Linked DNA regions of Callithrix jacchus. The protein of the gene in region 1 purifies or fractionates together with the protein of each later gene. This does not show direct contact. Links are inferred from orthologs where the notes say so. Each region holds a gene or a part of one and is shown in the gene's direction. Other genes may lie near its edges.

The links.
Region 2: the proteins of OBSL1 (region 1) and CAMKK2 purify together in Homo sapiens (affinity purification with mass spectrometry; 4 studies listed by BioGRID and IntAct, with this or other methods). This does not show direct contact. The link is inferred for Callithrix jacchus from reciprocal best matches to the Homo sapiens genes OBSL1 and CAMKK2.

Annotation. Positions count from the first base shown.
Region 1 is NC_133507.1:141,291,627-141,296,081, reverse strand, and holds the end of OBSL1 (obscurin-like protein 1), read left to right. Parts: coding exon 1-77; intron 78-605; coding exon 606-762; intron 763-928; coding exon 929-1,090; intron 1,091-1,407; coding exon 1,408-1,512; intron 1,513-1,825; coding exon 1,826-2,095; intron 2,096-2,327; coding exon of another isoform or gene 2,328-2,368; exon of another isoform or gene 2,369-2,372; coding exon 2,373-2,569; 3' UTR 2,570-2,747; coding exon of another isoform or gene 2,748-2,755; 3' UTR 2,756-2,880; downstream 2,881-4,455. Other genes in the region: TMEM198 (transmembrane protein 198), read right to left, coding at 3,756-3,893, 4,244-4,446. UniProt on the Homo sapiens protein: Core component of the 3M complex, a complex required to regulate microtubule dynamics and genome integrity. It is unclear how the 3M complex regulates microtubules, it could act by controlling the level of a microtubule stabilizer.
Region 2 is NC_133510.1:124,466,934-124,472,363, reverse strand, and holds part of CAMKK2 (calcium/calmodulin-dependent protein kinase kinase 2), read left to right. Parts: intron 1-2,876; coding exon 2,877-2,898; intron 2,899-3,043; coding exon 3,044-3,132; intron 3,133-5,430. UniProt on the Homo sapiens protein: Calcium/calmodulin-dependent protein kinase belonging to a proposed calcium-triggered signaling cascade involved in a number of cellular processes. Isoform 1, isoform 2 and isoform 3 phosphorylate CAMK1 and CAMK4. Isoform 3 phosphorylates CAMK1D.

The DNA of each region.
Region 1 (4,455 bases):
TAGAGGTGACCGAGGGCGACACAGCTACGTTTGAGTGCGAGCTTTCCCAAGCTTTGGCTGATGTTACCTGGGAGAAGGTCAGAGCCCAACCCCAGCCCAGCCGACTTCAACATAACACCAACAATAACAATGCCCTAAGAAATAACTAATACTTCTTCAGCGTGTGTGCCTGGCACCGTGCTAAGATTTGCATTACATTTAATCCCTTACTCCTTACAACTCTAGGAGGTAGGTCTTGTCATTTGTTATCTATGAGGAAACTGATACTCAGTGGGACGAAATTACGTGCCCAAGGGCAAACCAAAGAGGTAGTGCCCATATTTGAATCCAGGTTTGCCTAATTCCAGAATCCGTGACCATGTACCCCTGTGACTGATACCTGGCTCTGGGCTTTCCGTGCACCTTGGCGGCCCTAAGGTCCCCAAAGGGTGACACCTTCTCAAAGAGGTTCCTGGCACGGCCCCGAAGGCGTGGGACAGCCCGATCCCAGCTTGGGAACACGAGATACACATAAACTCGTCTCGAGACCCCTTGGCATCAACAGACGGTGCTGCCGGCCGCGCCCAGCCGTGCCCTCCCCGACCCTCTGCAACTCCCGCCCCTAGGACGGGCGCGCGCTCACTCCAAGCCCGCGGCTCCGGCTCCAGGCCCTGGGCACGCGCCGCCTTCTACAGCTGCGGCGCTGCGGCCCCTCGGACGCCGGGACCTATAGCTGCGCGGTGGGGACGGCCCGCGCCGGGCCGGTCCGCCTGATCGTGCACGGTGGGTATGGGGTGATGCGGGGACTGGGCACTGCTTTGGGCGCGAGACCTGCGGAGCAATCTTCCCGCGACCCTGCTGACCGCGCGTGCTTCTAAAAAGGGGGCGTGGGGGCGTGGCCAGCACCTGCCCTCCGCCCCGCCCCGCTCACGCCCCGGGTCCGCCCCAGACCGCACTGTGGAGGTGCTCTCCGAGCTGCTGTCGGTGAGTGCCCGCGAAGGCGACGGCGCTACGTTCGAGTGCACCGTGTCGGAGGCCGAGACCACGGGGCGCTGGGAGCTCGGAGGCCGCCTGCTGAGACCCGGAGCCCGCGTCCGCATCCGACAAGAAGGTCTGGCCGCCAGGCTACCCTTTCGGGCCCCTCGCTGCCCCGCCCAGGCTCGGACAGACCCCGCCCCGCGGGACAAGCCCCACCTCCGGCTCGGACAGGCCCCGCCTCAAGGCCCCAGAGCCGCGTCCCGGGTCTCTCCTCCGCCCCCAGCCCCGAGTCCCGGACCGCTCCTCTACCCGCCCCGCTCTCCGGTTCCGCCCACCTTAGCGTACACTAACGGCGTCCGAACCGACCCAGGGGCCTGCTGCGGCCCCACCCGCGTCCCCAGCGCTCCTCTGAGGTGGCTCCGGCCTCGCTAGCGACCCCGTCACCCCCAGGGAAGAAACACATTCTGGTGCTGAGCGAGCTGCGCCCCGAGGACGCCGGTGAAGTCCGCTTCCAGGCGGGGCCCGCCCAGTCCTTGGCTCTACTGGAAGTGGAGGGTAAGCACCAGGGGCGGGAGCGACAGGGAAAGAACATCCTCTCCTCTCCTGCCAGGGGACTGACGGACCGGGGGTGGCCCCGGGAACGATGCCTTCCTCTTCCCCTTCCCGCGAAGGGCTCTCCTGGGCCGGGTCACAGAGGGCACCGCGTTTCCCTGGGAAGAGGAGACTTTGGATTTGAGGTGCAAGGGAACGGACCGGTGGCATAGAGGGCTAAGGCCCTGAGTGGAGGCTGCAGGGAGGGAAGATGCGTCTCTTCTCCTGGGGGCCATGTGTGTCCCTATTAACTTAAGCTCCCGCCCCCTACCCTCAGCATTGCCTCTCCAGATGTGCCGCCGCCCCCCTCGCGAGAAGACCATTCTGGTGGGCCGCCGGGCCGTGCTGGAAGTGACTGTGTCGCGCTCGGGGGGCCACGTGTTCTGGTTGCGGGAGGGGGCCCAGCTGTGCCCGGGAGATAAGTATGAGATGCGCAGCCACGGCCCCACCCACAGCCTGGTCATCCGTGACGTTCGACCTGAGGACCAGGGCACCTACTGCTGCCAGGCCGGCCAGGACAGCGCCCACACACGGCTGCTGGTAGAGGGTGAGTAAAGCCGACTGGGAAGAGGCAAGAGGGCGAGGGCACCTGGGAACCGATGGGCTAAGCCACACCTATGGGAGGCTTTCTAGGACTGTGGTGGCGGCAGGTCCTGAAATGTGTTGGAGGTGGGGGTGGGGGAGGGGAGGGATAGAGCACACCCAGGGCTGGAACTGCTTGACTCAGATCAGCTGCTCCTAGTCAGCTGTTCCCACCTTTCTATACCCCTTCCTGCCAGGCTTCTCTCTCTTGCCACTGGACCATGTTTCTCTCTCTTGAACAGCCCCATTTCTACCAGTTCCTCTCCTCTGTACCTCCCTAACACTGCCTGCCTCCAGCCTGTCCCTCCTCCCTCCTGCCCATCGCAGTGAGTTCCATGTCAGCCTTGGCAGAGGCCTCTTTCTTTCCTCTTACACATGTCTCACACGAAGAGACATCCCACCTTCTATCCCAAATCCCAGCATTCCCTCCAGATGCTGAGCTGTGTCCCACCCCTAGCTGACCCCCACCTTCCAAGACAGCCCTGACAGAGGCCCAGAAAGGGTAGGATAGAGCCTGTGGGCCCAGATCTTCCTGTGCTGGTGTCCAGGCTCTGCCTGGGGAGAGGAAGGTGGTACCCACTCTCTCCCCAGCCCCACGTGGAGTCATTCCTCTGCAGGTAACTAGGAGTACCGAACCAGGCCAGGCAGGTGCCCTTGGACAGCTTGGAAGGCGTGTGCCCCTACCCTGGGCAGGGGTGGAGAAACAGGGAGACCAGAGATGTCAGGAAACAATAAAAGTGCTACAGCTCATTCCCTTGGCTCTCTGAGTGATGTGGGAGGGCAGACATTGCCTGTCGCCCCTGTGCAGTGAATGACACTGGGGACTGAGGGCTGTAGTGCTTATACCTGGCCCATGAAAGTGCCAGCCACCAAAGACCACTATTCCTGGCAGAGGCCACGCAGTTTGGCACATTTATAAAAGATGTAAAACAAAGTGGGATGGGGGAGACAGAAGCATGAGGTGTCCAGGTTGGCATGACAGACACCAGACATGCACCGTGCATTTAAGCCCCTCCCCAACTCCCTTCCCAACCCAGCCTGGCCCAGAGCAGCACCCCCCACCCCCATCTCCTGCCACTGCCCTCAGGCTGGTGGCTTTGTAGAGGCCAGGGGACCAGGGTGAGGGGTGCTACAGTTTGCCCCACAGACAAGGACAAGAACCCTTAGATGAGTCTGGCTGGGAGGCAGGGTGATGGGGAGGAAGGCAGCCCCTCCGCGGAGACATGCAGGAGGTGGCCCATGGGACTCCGGCGGGGCGGGGAGGAGGTGGGACCCGGCCTGGAGAAACCCTACCAGTCAGAAATCTAAGGCAAGGGTCACAGTGTCCCCTCCAAGCCTGCCCCCCCACACACACATACACACACACGGGCAACACACTTACAACCCTGAGCACACCCCAATGGGGTTCACACCCCGAGTTCCTCAGGAGCCCCTTGGGAGCTTGGGAGGGGCCTTTCCTCTTAGGCCAAGCCTCGCCTGAGACAACCTCCCTTCTAATGATCAGGCCAGCCCTCTCCAGGCTGGGGAGAGGGACAGCCAAAGCCAGGGGCCTGGGTGACAGCCTGGCAGGCCTCCACGAGCTGGCAGAGCTGGTGACTGCAGAGTCTAGACAGGCAGAGATATGGCTATACCCGCACTGGGGGGCCTGAGCAGGCTGTCAGAGGTCCCCGGGACCCATACTCATAGTCCGCATCTGTGGGTGAGGCCATGAAGGAGCTCAGGGAGCTCCCGGTCTGCCGGTCTCGGAAGCTCTGGATATAACTCTGTGGGGGAGCAAACATAGGTGTGAGAGTCCCACTGCAGAATCCTGCCCTAAAAGCCCCCTCTTCCTGAATCCCCACAAGCCTGACACCCCTACAGACTGCCACAGACTCAGAGTCCACAGTCTTGAGACCCCACCACATACCATAACCCACTTAAAACCCATACTCAGGGTACAGTTCCCCCAAACCCCCCACCAGCTGGACCTGCCAAGCCCCTGGTGCATGGGCTGTGACACACAGAGAGTAGGCCTTCTAGATAGAAACCAGCCCATGGGGAAAGCCCAGTACTGTTTGGATAGTTTCCACACTTTTTTCTCCCCATTCTGGCTGGATGGGCTCAGGGAGCTCACCGGGGAGAGGACGTCTCCATTGAAGCGTTTGATGGGCACTGGCCTGCGCCGATAAGCAGGGTCTGGGGGCCCAGGCCTGGGAGGAGCCCGGGGACCTCTGGGGGGAGCCCGAGGAGGTCTCTTTTTCCGCCTTTTCTCCTTGCGATCTTCCTGCTGCCGAATCCGCATCAGTTGCACACGTCGGCGCTGCCGACTGATGACCACTGTGGTGG
Region 2 (5,430 bases), on another chromosome or scaffold:
GCTTGAGCAGGGCAGCTGCAGAGACAGTTTTTCACTACTCAAGGTGGCAGTCGCAGAAAGGAGCCATGCTAATTTGGGATATGCGATTCCAGTGGTTTTGAAAATCCTGACATGGTTATATTTTACTTTCCAGCCACAGTGGTGTGAGCCTGAGACAGACAGGGCAGTGCACAAGGCCAGGTAGTAGGTGTCAGGAAGGCTCTGCAGCCATAGGCCTGACATGCAAAGGGCAGAAAACTCAGCCCAGGTGCGGTGGCTCATGCCTGTAACCCCAGCACTTTGGGAGGCTGAGTTGGGAGGATCACTTGAGGCCAGGAGTTTGAGGCTGTAGTGAGCTACGATTGTGCCACTGCACTCCAGCCTGGGTGACAGAGCAAGACCCTGTCTCAATTGAAAAAAAAAAACGGGGTGGGCTGGGCATGGTGGTTCATGCCTGTAATCCCAGCACTTTGGGAGGCCAAGGCAGAAGGATCATCTGAGGTCAGGAGTTCAAGACCAGCCTGACCAACATGGTGAAACTCCATCTATACTAAAAATACATAGTTAGCCAGGTGTGGTGGCACATGCCTGTAATCCCAGCTACCTGGGAGGCTGAAGCAGGAGAATCGCTTGAACCTGGGAAGTGGAGGTTGCAGTGAGTCGAGATCACGCAATTGCACTCCAGCCTGGACAACAGAGAAGACTCTGTCTTAAAAAAAAAAAAAAAAAAAAAAAGGAGAAAACTCAGTCTCTATTTCTGGAGGTTAAAAAATTCCCACCCACTGCTCAGCCCCAAAAGTGGTTGAACTGTCAGTGACTGAAAATAGACCTGTTTCAACAGGCCACCCTCCCTCATGCCACCTGATTCATGGTGCTTGGGTGGGTGGGAGGATGGTGCAGATATTCATGAAGCTTGCAAGTTAAGACTTAAATAGCAGGAAAGGCCAAAACTGAGGGGGCTAGCGCTGGGTTATCCGGCGAAGCTGTACCTTAGCATTACCTTTGCTTTTAACTACAGCCCGAGGCAATGGCACCTGCCCTAACTCACATTGGTTGGTGCTGTGAAGACAGGGAAGGTCTGGGAGAGTTCAGTTCTTTCCTGATCAGAATCTTTAAGTCTTCTTTTTTGTCTGAGTAGCTTCTCCGCTCCCCTTGGCCTTCTCAGGCCTTGGAGAACTTTGAAACAACCCTTTGGTTTCATTAAAAAAAAAAAAATTGCCTGTAATCCCAGCACTTTGGGAGGCCAAGATGGGTGGATCACCTGAGGTCAGGAATTTGAGACCAGGCTGACCAATATGGTGAAACCCTGTCTCTACTAAAAATATGAAAATTAGGCAGGTGTGGTGGGCACCTGTAGTCCCAGCTACTTGGGAGGCTGAGGCAGGAGAATTGCTTGAACCCAGGAGGCAGAGGTTGCAGTGAGCCAAGATCGTGCCACTGCACTCCAGCCTGGGCAACAGAGCAAGACTCCATCTCAAAAAAAAGTTTTTAAAAAAAATTTTTATGGGGACATGGTAGGTGGATATAGTTATAGGGTACATGAGGTGTTTTGATACTGACATGCAGTGCATTCTTACATCACGGAAAATGGGGTATCCCCTTTGGTTTCTGTTACATGCTCATCTCATTCTGAGCATATGACTCAAGAACAATAAGCAACCCCGAAGTCATTCACTGGATTTTGAAATCTACTGTGCTCTTTTTTTTTACTTCCTAAAGTACAGCCTTGTATTCCCAGTTATGCTTGTCGTGGCAGAATCAAATTAACTATACCATGTGGCCCAGCAAGCCCACTCCTAGGTATATACCCAAAAGAACCGAAAACAGATATCCACACAAATGCGTGTACGCGAATGTTCACTGCAGCACTATTCACGACAGCCAAAAAATAGAAACAGACCGTATGCCCTCAACAGATGAATGGACGAAGAAAATGTGGTCTACCCAGACAATGGAATATTATTCAGCCATGAAAAGGAATGAAGCACTGATCCAGGCTCCAGTGTGGATGAACCTGAAAAACATGATGCTAAGTGAAAGCAGCCAGACACAAAAGGCCACATAGTGTTCAAGTCTATTTACGTGACATGTCCAGAACAGGCAGATCTACAGAGACAGAAAGCAGATTAGAAGTGGCCAGGTGCTTGAGGGAGGGAAGAATGGGGAATGACGACTGCTGAGGGGACAAGGTTTCCTTTTGAGGTGATGAGAATGTTCTGGAACTAGTGATGATCGCATAATATTGTGAATACACTAAACGCCACTCAATTACATACTTTTAAAATGGATAGTTTTATGTGATGTAAATTTCAATCTCAATTTTTTTTTGAGACAGAATCTTGCTCTGTTGCCCAGGCTTGAGTGCAGTGCTGTGATCTCGGCTCACTGCAACCTCTGCCGCCCAGTTTCAAGTGATTCTTATGCCTCAGCCTCCCAGGTAGCTGGGACTACAGGCACCTGCCACCATGCCTGACTGGTTTTTATGTTTTTAGTAGAGACGAGGTTGTGCCATGTTTGCCAGGCTGGTCTTGAACCTCTGACCTCAGGTGATCTGCCCGCATTGGCTCCCAAAGTGCTGAGATTACGCTGGCGTGAGCCACCTTGCCCAGCTCCTGCCTTGTTTTCTTTGATTAGTGGATCCTGGGCCAATTTGAGCGCCAGAAGTCAAGCCAGACTGGAGCTAGGGACGTCAGAAATCCCTGGTCCTTTGCCTTCTGTTGGAAATTTAGCAAAGCAGGACCTTGGCCAGCTTGGTTCAGTGGACTGTACTTCTCCCCAGCTCTAATATTAGTTTCTGTCTTTCTCGGTGTTCCTGGAGGTGGTTGGGAGGTGGGGAGGACAGAGAGATGGATGTTCATTTTCCCATGTAACAGTTCACTCCCTTTTCTTCCTTATAGTGTTCGAACTGGTCAACCAAGGGTGAGTGTCCCAGCTCCCGGCACGGGTGATGCCAGAAGCTTCACCAGCTGCGTAGCTGAGTGAGGTGCCACCAGGCTCTGCTGGTGAGAGAGGGCAAGGGCTGGGTGGATCTGGTTTGTGCTTCATGCGTGTATCGACCTTGCAGGCCCGTGATGGAAGTGCCCACTCTCAAACCTCTTTCTGAAGACCAGGCCCGTTTCTACTTCCAAGATCTGATCAAAGGCATCGAGTACTGTAAGCGGGGCCTGTGGGAGGACTCTCACCCGGCGGCTAGTTAGTGTTACGAGCTATGGGTGCAGAGTGGAGACTGTCTTATTTTCTTCCTGGAGCACAAGGAGATGGGTGGGTGGACTGGGGTTCTCTAGAGAGACAGAACTAATAGGTTATGGATATACGCACACACACACACAAAGAAGAGTTATTTATTTATTTATTTATTTATTTTTTGAGACGGAGTTTCACTCTTGTTGCCCAGGCTGGAGTGTAATGGCATCATCTTGCTCACTGCAACCTCCGCCTCCTGGATTCAAGTGATTTTCCTGCCTCCCGAGTAGCTGGGATTACAGGTGTGCACCACCATGCCCGGCTATGTTTTTTTTTTTTTTTTTTTTTTTTTTTTTGTATTTTTGGTAGAGATGGAGTTTCTCCATGTTGGTTAGCTGGTCTTGAACTCCCGACCTCAGGTGATCCGCCTGCCTCAGCCTCCCAAAGTGCTGGGATTATAGGTATGAGCCATCATTCCTGGCTAAGGGGAGTATTTTAAGTATTAACTTACAGGATCACAAGGTTCCACAATTGGCTGTCTGCAAGCTTGAGGAGCAAGGAGAGCCCTTCTGACTCTCAAAACTGAAGATCTGGCCAGGCGCGGTGGCTCACGCCTGTTATCCCAGCACTTTGGGTGGCCGAGGTGGGTGGATCACGAGGTCAAGAGATCGAGACCATCCTGGTCAACATGGTGAAACCCCGTCTCTACCAAAAATACAAAAAATTAGCTGGGCATGGTGGCACGTGCCTGTAATCCCAGCTTCTCAGGAAGCTGAGGCAGGAGAATTGCCTGAACCCAGGAGGCGGAGGTTGCAGTGAGCCGAGATCGCGCCATTGTACTCCAGCCTGGGTAAAAAGAGCGAAACTCTGTCAAAAAACAAAAAAACAAAAAAACTGAAGATCTTGGAGTCCGATGTTTGAGGGCAGGGAGCATCCAGCACAGGAGAAAGATGCGGGCTGTGGGGGCTAGGCCTGCCTCACCTTTCACGTTTTTTTCTGCCTGCTTTATATTTGAGGGCAGCTGATTAGATTGTGCCCAGCAGATTAAGGGTGGGCCTGCCTTTCTCAGCCCACTGACTCAAATGTTAATTTCCTTTGGCACCACCCACACAGACACACCCAGGATTCATACTTTGTATCCTTCAGTCCAATCCAGTTGACACTCAGTATTAGCCATCACAACAGGAAGCAAAATTGTGTGAGAGGAAGAATCAGGGCCAGCTGCAGAGAGCCACCCTAGGGCCATGGCCCAGGCAAGCCAAACCCTTCTTACTGCCACTTGGAAAAATGAAGAGCGGTAGCAATAGTGACTATTTAGCACTTTCTGTGTGCACCAGGCACTATTTGGGGCTCTACTTTTTTTGTCTCCTATTCCTTCCAGCCACCCTGGGATCAGGGTCCTGTTAACCTCCTGGAACCTTAGTTTCCTCATCTGTAAAATGGGGATAACGTCTCTCACCCACCAGGGCTGAGAGATCAGCCAGTACACATCAGTGGTTTGATTGGCAGGTGTCCTTTCTGCTTCTACTTGTTAAACATCTTAGCTCTTTTTTTTTTTTTTTTTGAGATTCTTGCCTGTTGCCCAGGCTGGAGTGCAGTGGCGTGATCTCAGCTCACTGCAACCTCTGCTTCCTGGGTTGAAGTGGTTCTTGTTCCTCAGCCTCCCAAATAGCTGGGATTACAGGCACCTGCCACCACGCCCAGCTAATTTTTTTATTTTTAGTAGAGATGGGGTTTTGTCATGTTGACCAGGCTGGTCTTGAACTCCTGACCTGAGGTGATCTGCTGCCTTGGCCTCCCAAAGTTCTGGGAGTACAGGTGTGAGCCACCGAGCCCAGCCATCATGTTAGCTCTTACCCCTGCTTGTCACATAGGATGGTTGGAGGTTTAATTAAATGTAAAATGTGAATGTGAAACACCTAATGCAGGGCTGGGCCTCTTACTTGGTGCTCTGCGAACAGAGCTGCTGCCGCTTTTACAGAAATCATCTTCATGGCAGTTGGGTCCTCAGGCTGTAGAATTGTCCTGTGCCATGGGCTGATACCCAGTCAGGAAGAGTTAGCCAAGCCCCCAGTTCGGCTGTGTGGTTCACATTTCAAATCGGCCTGCTCAGGTCATTGTTGGTTTGGTAAATCAGCTGAGTGTTGGCTGTTGGTAAATGAAAATGTGTTTCATGCTCAGTCTCACTCAGAGCTGGGAGCCAAGCCCAGCAAAAACTTTTCATGCATTGTCACTTGTGCCTTAATAAATAACAGGCGATTACGAACT